Arabidopsis thaliana: one gene and its partner. The protein of the gene in region 1 interacts with the protein of each later gene in a pairwise test. Each region holds a gene or a part of one and is shown on either strand. Other genes may lie near its edges.

Region 1 (5,185 bases):
AAATCATGACATCAGTATCAAAAGAATCTGCCACAGGGGTTTTGCTATTAACCTGTTGAGATACATCCATTAGTTGTATCACCAAACTCATGCTGCAAAATCAAACAGAGGACATAATTACACCATTATAGCTATAAGAAGAACAGATGATTCATTCTTCCGAGGAGGAACAAGCTTACGAGATGAAATCCATGAGGCCCTGGAGTGAGACCAGTGATACGAACATTCACAGTTGTAGGACCTGCTTGCCATAAACACAACCATATTCACTTAGAACAATCTACATAGTCAAAAATTAGCAAGAAACCATATAGGGTTACTTTGTAAACTTTCACAGAACCATTGAATCAGCAAGAATATGCAAAACACTCTTAAAGCTAATCCCTTTCTTTATCAGCTTATCTTAAGTTATTCATAGCAGTGAGAACCAAACACTAACAAATGTAACTCAACAGATTAAACAGAAAAAGTCTGAAACTTTGAAGAAACCGAAAATCAGATATGAAGCAGATTAAACAGAAAAAGTCTGAGACTTTGAAGATATTGAAAGTCAGATACGAAGCAGATTGAACACTGAGAGTGACCTAATCATGCCCATCAAATCAATCTTCAGAAACCCAGATGAGAAATTAGAGATTTTGAGCAATTGAGAGAGACGGACCTGAGTCATCTTGGGTCAAAGTAACAACTCCTTCGACATCAGAAGTACCTTTAAGCACTGCAACAGCCTTCTTCGCCGCGGAAACAACTGTCAACGCTTTCGACGGAGCTTTAACGGCGAAGGAAACAGATTGGAGACGGTGGAGATTGTTGTTGTTGAGAGAGACGCCGCGGAAAGAGGAACGGAGAGTTGAAGGATTGGAGGAAGGAGGAATGAGAAGACGAGAAGGAGATGAGAATGCGAGGATTGTGTTGGTGGCAGCCATGGCTGCTGCTATGTTTGACGTTTGGAGGAAATGAGTAGGCACAAATACTTGTGTGAGATTGAAAGATGAGGTTTTTATTGGTGTCACTGGTTTCTCAAATTCGGCCCACACATACACAATTTTTTTTTTTTTTTTTGAGTGCTTCTTTACCATTTTTCCAACTTTAGGACTTAAAATTTGATTAATTTCTACACTTTATTAGACTTTTTTTCTTCACTTTATTGCTACTTTTGATTGGCAAATTAGTTCTTAAAAAAATATAAGTATATGTTATTATCTTATGCGAAAATGTTAAACTTGCCAATATATTTTGACCAATTTAGTGACAAACTTGGCATGAAACTATCTAGAAATAGTTTCCTATCTTATGTGTGACCAAAGCTGTTTTCATTCATAGAAAGACAGTCATCTTATTTAAAGAAATTCCTTTTTTTCTGGTAGATTCTTAGTTGACTTCTTTCTGTGGTTTATAACTTATAAGAAGCTGAAGACATATACTATTTATAGTGGAGAAACAACTCAAAAAGGGTCTAAAACTACATATGTCTATAGATGTCCAAAGTGTGTTTTTTAAAAACAGCATAACCTATAAACAGCATATACATCTGTGTGTCATTTGTTTACAAATTGTTTCTTTGTTATCAAAAGGAACACAACATTTATTTTGTTATCGTCTTCCCCATTTTGACAAGAACTCACTTAAGATTTTGAAGTCATGGAAATGGGGAACGGGACAGGACCCGGGATGTCGGGGGCTTTTAGTGGAGGCGGCAACGAGATTTTGGGAATGGGAGGTGGCGGCGGCATAATGGGAGGCGGTGATATTTCACATATGAGTCCTGAAGTAAAATGGATATTTGAGATGGCTTGGTATGGTGAAACTGTAAGATATGATGGGTTAATTTGTGAGGAGCATCCCCCTAAGCTCTCTTCAGATGGTATTTGGGAGAAACTTATTATTAAATCGGCAGGTCTATATTTTTGGCAATATCGTCTTCCGAAGCTCGAGATTGTCATCTTGCTCGTCTTCTTTCTTTGGCAAGGCTTTAATATCTTGTTTAAGAAATTGGGTCTTTCTATTCCCAAGTTATCCTCTATGATGCTTGTGAGCTCTTCTTCTTCTTGTTTGTCTTTTTTTTTTCTTCAAAACTTGTGTGTTTGCTGCTGAGAAAATCGATGTTGCATTGCAGGCAGGGCTACTCTTGAATGTTCTAGTTACTTTATCGGGAGAGAACTCGATCATTGCGGATATCTTGGTCACGAAAAACAGAATCGACGTAGCAGGATGCCTTGGATCATTTGGATTCTTGATTTTCTGGTTCCTCAAAGGTGTAAGAATGGACGTCAAGAGAATCTTCAAGGCTGAAGCAAAAGCAAGAGTCACTGGAGTTGCAGCGGTTACTTTCCCTATAGTTGTTGGCTTCTTGCTTTTCAATCTCAAATCAGCTAAGAATCGACCTCTCACTTTCCAAGAGTATGATGTAATGCTACTAATGGAAAGCATCACGTCCTTCTCGGGGATCGCAAGACTCTTGCGTGACCTTGGCATGAACCATTCATCTATTGGCCGGGTTGCTTTATCCTCAGCCTTAGTCTCTGATATAGTTGGACTCCTGCTCTTGATTGCGAACGTTTCTAGAAGTTCAGCAACTTTAGCTGATGGTTTGGCTATACTTACAGAGATAACCTTATTCCTCGTCATTGCATTTGCGGTTGTGAGGCCGATAATGTTCAAAATAATAAAGCGGAAAGGAGAAGGAAGACCAATCGAAGACAAATACATCCACGGGGTTCTCGTCTTGGTTTGCTTATCTTGTATGTATTGGGAAGATCTTAGCCAGTTTCCTCCACTTGGAGCCTTCTTTCTTGGTCTCGCCATTCCCAATGGACCTCCTATTGGATCTGCATTGGTCGAACGATTAGAAAGCTTCAATTTTGGTATCATATTACCTCTTTTCTTAACAGCCGTTATGCTCAGGACTGATACCACTGCTTGGAAAGGCGCTTTGACATTCTTTAGTGGCGATGATAAGAAATTTGCGGTTGCGTCTCTCGTCTTGCTCATTTTCTTGTTGAAGCTCTCTGTCTCAGTCATTGTTCCTTACCTCTATAAAATGCCGTTGAGAGACTCTATTATCCTTGCCCTAATAATGTCTCATAAGGGTATTATCGAACTCAGCTTCTACCTTTTCTCTCTAAGCCTCAAGGTTAGTTTTCTCATATTTTGATTCTTGATCATGATTATGATTTCTTGCCAAAAACAAAAAGTTGAAAAGATTCATTGTTTTGATTCTTTTGATTGATGATTTGGTACAGTTGGTAACCAAAGATACATTCTCAATTCTAGTCTTGTCCATTGTCCTCAACTCTCTGCTCATACCAATGGCGATCGGGTTTCTCTACGACCCATCTAAACAATTCATATGCTACCAAAAGAGAAATTTAGCGAGTATGAAGAACATGGGAGAGCTAAAGACTCTTGTGTGCATCCATAGACCAGACCACATATCTTCCATGATCAACCTTCTTGAAGCTTCTTATCAATCCGAAGACAGTCCTCTCACTTGCTACGTCCTTCACCTCGTCGAGTTACGAGGTCAAGACGTTCCCACTTTGATCTCACACAAAGTTCAGAAACTCGGAGTCGGGGCTGGAAATAAATATTCCGAAAATGTCATCCTCTCTTTTGAACATTTCCACCGTTCTGTCTGCAGTTCCATTTCCATAGACACATTCACTTGCATCGCAAACGCAAACCATATGCAGGATGACATTTGTTGGCTAGCTCTTGATAAAGCTGTCACGCTTATCATTCTTCCTTTTCACCGGACTTGGTCACTTGACCGAACATCCATCGTATCCGACGTTGAGGCGATCCGATTTCTGAATGTCAACGTCTTGAAACAAGCACCTTGCTCTGTCGGCATTCTTATCGAACGCCATCTCGTTAACAAGAAGCAAGAACCACATGAAAGCCTTAAGGTATACTTACAATTACATCTACTATGCTTCCATGTTGGTCGTTGTAGATGCTTTAACTATATATATAGAAAAACTAAGCACACTAAGCTATTTGATGATAGGTGTGTGTAATATTCGTGGGAGGAAAAGACGATAGGGAAGCTTTGGCCTTTGCGAAGCGAATGGCCCGTCAAGAGAACGTAACATTAACAGTTCTACGCCTCCTAGCATCAGGAAAGAGCAAAGACGCGACAGGATGGGATCAAATGCTTGACACGGTGGAACTAAGAGAGTTGATTAAAAGCAACAATGCCGGAATGGTAAAAGAAGAAACATCAACAATTTATTTGGAACAAGAGATATTGGATGGAGCGGATACGTCAATGCTTCTACGTTCCATGGCTTTCGATTACGATCTTTTCGTCGTGGGAAGAACATGCGGCGAGAACCACGAGGCAACCAAAGGTATAGAGAATTGGTGTGAGTTTGAGGAGCTTGGAGTCATTGGTGATTTCTTGGCCTCGCCGGATTTTCCGAGTAAAACATCGGTGTTAGTAGTGCAACAACAACGAACGGTAGCCAATAATAATTAGAAGCGGAGAAAGCATACTATGGTTGTGGTTGTTGTTACATCTATCTCTCCTTTGTGTAGCATCTACAAAAAGAAGTTTGAAAAGAAGAAAAAAAATGTATGACCACATTTTATTTGTTTTTTTCATTGCTACTTGTGGAATATTGTTTTTTGTAGAGCAGAAAGAAAGACTTTGAAGAATGTTTTAATCCTTAAATTTTCCTATCCGAATAGTCTCCTAGGGTGAATAATTATAAGAACGAAAAATAGTTTATTTACTAGAATAATTGAAAATTTCTTATTAGTTACTAGAAATAGTTTCATACTTAGTTTACTTTTTGAAGCTTTCTTACGAAAATTAGAGTTCGTAATCAAAAGGATCTAGTGGTTGAGGGCTCGCTTTGTTAGTCAACCTTACAGTTTTTGGCTATTTTTGATCACTTTTTTGTCCAAATTCCATTTGCGAATTGCGACCACTGATTTTTTTTTTTTACACTTTCATATAAGGCAAGTAACACGTCTAGTATGTTAAATAAGCTTTTAAAACTTTTTTTAATTGTTTTTTTACTAAGAAAAACATCAATCTCAAACATCTAAACCCTATGACGGATCCGAAAGACTGATCTTGGACACAAGAAATGAAATTACACACATTCCTATATATTATATATTGATCATCAATTAGAAATGATTCTCTATTTCTTAATCTATCTTAACCTAAATCTGA
Region 2 (5,066 bases), on another chromosome or scaffold:
ATAAAAAATTAATAAAAAATTAATACAATAATTTAGATATCAAATCTAATTTGTTGATTTTAATTGGTTACTTTTTTGGAAATTAATAATGTATTTCATTTTTCTAATTAAATCAAATTAATTAAAATTTAGATATCAAATCTTATATGTTGATTTTGATTGGTTATTATTTTTGAAAATTAATAATATATTTCGTTTTTAAATTAAATTTAATTAATTAAATTAGTATTTGACTTTTTAATCCTTAAAGAGATACATTAATTTACTCTTTAAAATTTTATTTCTAATGGCATACCTATGTAATTACTTACAAAAATTAAGATTATATTTAAAATGTATTTCCCAAATAATATAGTAGGACTAAAAAGCTTTGAATCTTATAATACTTTAACGAAAAAAAATTTGAACTAAACCAAATATCATAACTGTCTGTGAGCTATTATTGTATTCGCACCACCCAATTAGAATTTTGATAGGTACTACAATATTAAGTTTGTGATAACAGCCAATTATTACAATTGTTTGGTGGGTCATTATGTTCCCGTGACTCTGGGCTATTTTGTATATATGTCACTATTTTTGCCTTTCTTGTTGTAAAATTTCGAAAGCTCTTTATTTTCATTGGTGGGAGAGTCCTAATCTTCTTAATTTCTTATCATATAGTCCCAACTTGTATGTTTTGTAATTGTAATAACAAGTTGGACCGACGGGATATTGTGTAATATGATTGGTAATACGCAAACGCAAAGTAACATCACAGAACAATGCTCACACGGAAAATATGAATTCATAAAATTTTATCATTATATGAATGGAAAGTGGGAAAAAAGCATACATTACGAAATTGTTTTTTGCATGACATAAGAAGAACCATTTAAAAACTTGGTAACGTCAATTTATGCTAGTTAAGTACTATACTCTTTCGTCAAATAAAGAAAAATGCTAGTAGTAGTAGAGTAGACTGATATTGTTGTCCCATGAAATAAAAGGGGCTTCAAATATATAGTTTGATTTAAGAACCCATTCTTGTATAAGCCTATTTTATGGGCCGTAATCAATAATAATAATGGGCTTACTTTCTACAATGTACTCTTAACTGAATATCAATTATAGTTTGGGCCGAAATAAAAACGTTGGTCTCATCAAAATCCTAATTGTTTTACTTTAATATCATGTCTTCAGTACTAAAATACTAATGAGGTAATCTAATTTGTATATTTTCTTCCCAAAAATTTTCGATATGAGTTATTCCATTTTAATACAGAATATATTCTTACTTTTAGAGGAAGTAAAATTTTGAAACTACTCAAATCCTATTCTATATATGTACAAACACATTTTTTTTCTGCCGATGACTTAGATAGACACAAAGCTAAGAATTTCATATTGTAAAAAAAGTTAACACGTAAATATGTTCCACATATCCGAAAGGAATTTAAATTAGTAGTGGTTCAGTATTATTAAGTCAGACATTTTTAGGAGACGTTCAATAATATAACATACTTTCCCAAGAGTTGCATGTTTCCATCGTACATAATAAAACCATAACTAAACAATTTAAATTATTCATTAAAAATAAAAAAACGGATAGTATTTGTTTAATTTTCACATTAAAGTATCTTTTAATTAAGTATTTATTATTATCTTTTATCTACTTATGTAATGTTTATAACACTTCTTACAAATCTCTCCAGATTCCTTCATAAATGGAAACAAAAGCATTTAAATATGTAAATCATATGATTTGTTACTGAAAATGCTAAATTACACAATAATAAAAAGATGTAAGAATATACAGCAAACTCATTTCTTCTTGCTGTAAAAATAATCGCACGGAATATTTAAATAAATTAATAAAAGATTCTGTATCTCACTGTAAAAACTAAAAAGGTAAAAAATTGAACAATTAACTTTTTCTTTCCATTCACTGCAGTCTGCAATTAATAGCCTCTCTCTCTCTCCTCCTTCATCATCTCCCCATAGCCGTCGAGACAGATAGAGAGAGCTGAAATTTCTGTGAGAAGATTTTCTTCCGACATTTTCTCTTTCCAAACACTGTTCTACACGTAGTCGGAAATCTCGGAAAAACCAATCTCCGAGTCAGAGAGAGAGAGAGAGGCGTTCACTGTTGTAAAGGATTAAGCTTTGGGTAAGAAGAAGATGAAGAACAAGACCAATTTAGGTCTCTCAGTCTTCTTCTTCTTTATATGTCTCGTTTCCGTGACATCAGATCTAGAAGCTGATCGACGAGCTCTAATCGCACTTCGTGACGGTGTTCATGGGCGTCCATTGCTGTGGAATCTAACAGCACCACCGTGTACTTGGGGAGGAGTCCAATGTGAGTCGGGTCGTGTCACAGCACTCCGATTACCCGGTGTGGGTTTATCGGGTCCATTACCAATCGCCATCGGAAACCTTACAAAGCTCGAAACTTTATCATTCCGATTCAATGCTCTTAACGGTCCTCTCCCGCCGGATTTCGCAAACCTAACTCTTCTCCGTTACTTGTATCTTCAAGGAAACGCATTTTCCGGCGAGATTCCTTCGTTTCTCTTCACTCTACCAAACATTATTCGGATCAATCTCGCCCAGAATAATTTCTTGGGTCGGATCCCGGATAATGTCAATTCTGCAACCCGGTTAGCTACTCTTTACTTGCAGGATAATCAACTCACCGGTCCAATCCCGGAGATTAAGATTAAGCTTCAACAGTTTAATGTCTCATCCAATCAGTTAAACGGGTCGATTCCGGATCCGTTGTCGGGTATGCCCAAAACCGCCTTTTTAGGCAATTTGCTCTGTGGGAAGCCGTTAGATGCTTGCCCTGTCAATGGCACTGGAAACGGTACTGTGACGCCTGGAGGAAAAGGGAAAAGCGACAAGTTATCTGCCGGAGCTATTGTCGGAATAGTGATCGGCTGTTTCGTCTTGCTTCTCGTGCTTTTCTTGATCGTGTTCTGTCTCTGTAGAAAGAAGAAGAAAGAGCAAGTCGTCCAATCGAGAAGCATCGAAGCAGCTCCTGTTCCGACCTCATCAGCAGCCGTGGCTAAGGAATCGAATGGTCCTCCTGCGGTGGTGGCTAATGGTGCATCTGAAAATGGTGTATCAAAGAACCCTGCTGCAGTGAGTAAAGATCTGACATTTTTCGTGAAATCTTTCGGCGAGTTTGATCTTGATGGATTGCTGAAAGCTTCTGCGGAAGTACTTGGTAAAGGAACGTTCGGATCTTCGTACAAGGCCAGTTTCGATCACGGATTAGTGGTGGCTGTGAAACGATTGAGAGATGTCGTGGTTCCTGAGAAAGAGTTCAGAGAGAAATTGCAGGTTCTTGGATCCATAAGCCATGCCAATCTTGTGACATTGATTGCATATTACTTCAGCCGCGACGAAAAGCTCGTTGTTTTCGAATACATGTCTAGAGGAAGCTTGTCTGCGCTGTTACACGGTAACAAAATAAATAACTCTGTTTATTGTTTGATTCTTTAGTAGTGATTACAGATTTTTTAAAACCAATTTTTTGGAATGAATTCGTAGGGAACAAAGGAAGTGGCAGAAGTCCATTGAATTGGGAAACGAGAGCCAATATAGCATTAGGAGCCGCAAGAGCAATTAGCTACCTCCATTCGCGTGACGCGACAACATCTCATGGCAACATTAAATCATCTAACATTCTATTGTCAGAATCCTTTGAAGCTAAGGTCTCTGACTACTGTCTTGCACCTATGATCAGCCCTACTTCTACACCTAACCGCATTGATGGTTACCGAGCTCCTGAAGTAACCGATGCTCGTAAAATCTCCCAAAAGGCTGATGTTTACAGCTTCGGTGTTCTCATTCTTGAATTACTCACAGGTACAACAACACACACAAAAACAGAGAGATCTTGAAAACCGTATTTTTGGTCAAAATGTTGATTCATATATTGGTTTTTGTATTGATTTGCAGGGAAATCTCCAACGCATCAGCAGTTACACGAAGAAGGAGTAGATTTACCGAGATGGGTTTCATCGATCACTGAACAACAATCACCATCAGATGTGTTTGATCCAGAGCTCACAAGGTATCAATCGGACAGCAATGAGAACATGATCAGGCTTTTAAACATCGGTATAAGTTGTACGACTCAGTATCCAGATAGTCGTCCTACAATGCCTGAAGTCACAAGACTCATCGAGGAGGTTTCTCGTTCACCTGCTTCACCAGGTCCTTTGTCCGATTGATTGTATTTTTCTTTTTCAATATATGGGGTCTAAATTGATCATTTCAAAATTGTTTGGTCTAAATTTGAATTTCTTTATATAGTTTGGTCTTTAAGTCAGTTGAGAGATCTACGTTGAAGTTTTTTTTTTTTTTTTTGTGTTTCTTAATTTTTTTAGTGAAATTTTTTATATACAAATTGATTGAGTGTGAAACAAATTATATCTCTCCTTTTCTATTGGTCGGCCCATCAATTTGAATATAGTAACTTTAACTTTATTTCATGAAACTTATCCACTATTGACTCTTTCTTTCTAACGAACTAGCAAATAAAACGGCAGAAACAAAAAAGAAGGAGCCTGATTATTATATGTTGGTAAATTATAAAAAGTTGTCAAACAAATTTTGTTGATATATTGTGTCTGATTCTTCTCTCCGACCAATCATAAAATGCATGTCAACGACACATATTTTCTGTCTTTCCTCAATTTCAAGTTTTATTTGTATTAGTGACTAAGACTAAGTATCTAAATACTTATTACAAACTCCATGGAGTAAATATAATTTTAGGTAACGGGTCTATTTAAAGTTTCTAAGTTGAATCTGTCAAGTTAGTCCCCACCTTTCAAATTCAAATTCAGATAATTTGGTGAAGCCATCAAAACAAAAGTTTCTTCATTTTTCCTTTAATCGTTAAAGTAAATTTCAAGCGACTCTCTTTAAGAATAAAAAAAGAAAGAAAGATATACTATCTTTATAAATTGTATTGATCAAGACATATGCAGAGGGTTTCGGAAAATCATTTACGGACTTAATGTGTGAAAGAATTAGTTGAGTGCATCATTCATGTATAACTTAGAACATATCTA

The links.
Region 2: the proteins of ATCHX8 (region 1) and AT5G16590 interact in a protein complementation assay, tested with the Arabidopsis thaliana proteins (one large-scale study listed by BioGRID).

The regions. Positions count from the first base shown.
Region 1 is NC_003071.7:12,010,289-12,015,473, reverse strand, and holds ATCHX8 (cation/hydrogen exchanger family protein), read left to right. Parts: upstream 1-1,734; coding exon 1,735-2,031; intron 2,032-2,116; coding exon 2,117-3,133; intron 3,134-3,242; coding exon 3,243-3,908; intron 3,909-4,009; coding exon 4,010-4,480; downstream 4,481-5,185. Other genes in the region: CSD2 (copper/zinc superoxide dismutase 2), read right to left, coding at 53-92, 180-241, 662-926. UniProt on the Arabidopsis thaliana protein: May operate as a cation/H(+) antiporter.
Region 2 is NC_003076.8:5,429,702-5,434,767, forward strand, and holds AT5G16590 (Leucine-rich repeat protein kinase family protein), read left to right. Parts: upstream 1-1,882; 5' UTR 1,883-2,160; coding exon 2,161-3,445; intron 3,446-3,534; coding exon 3,535-3,852; intron 3,853-3,945; coding exon 3,946-4,220; 3' UTR 4,221-4,485; downstream 4,486-5,066. UniProt on the Arabidopsis thaliana protein: Might be involved in early recognition of growth promoting fungi. Appears to be specific for P.indica.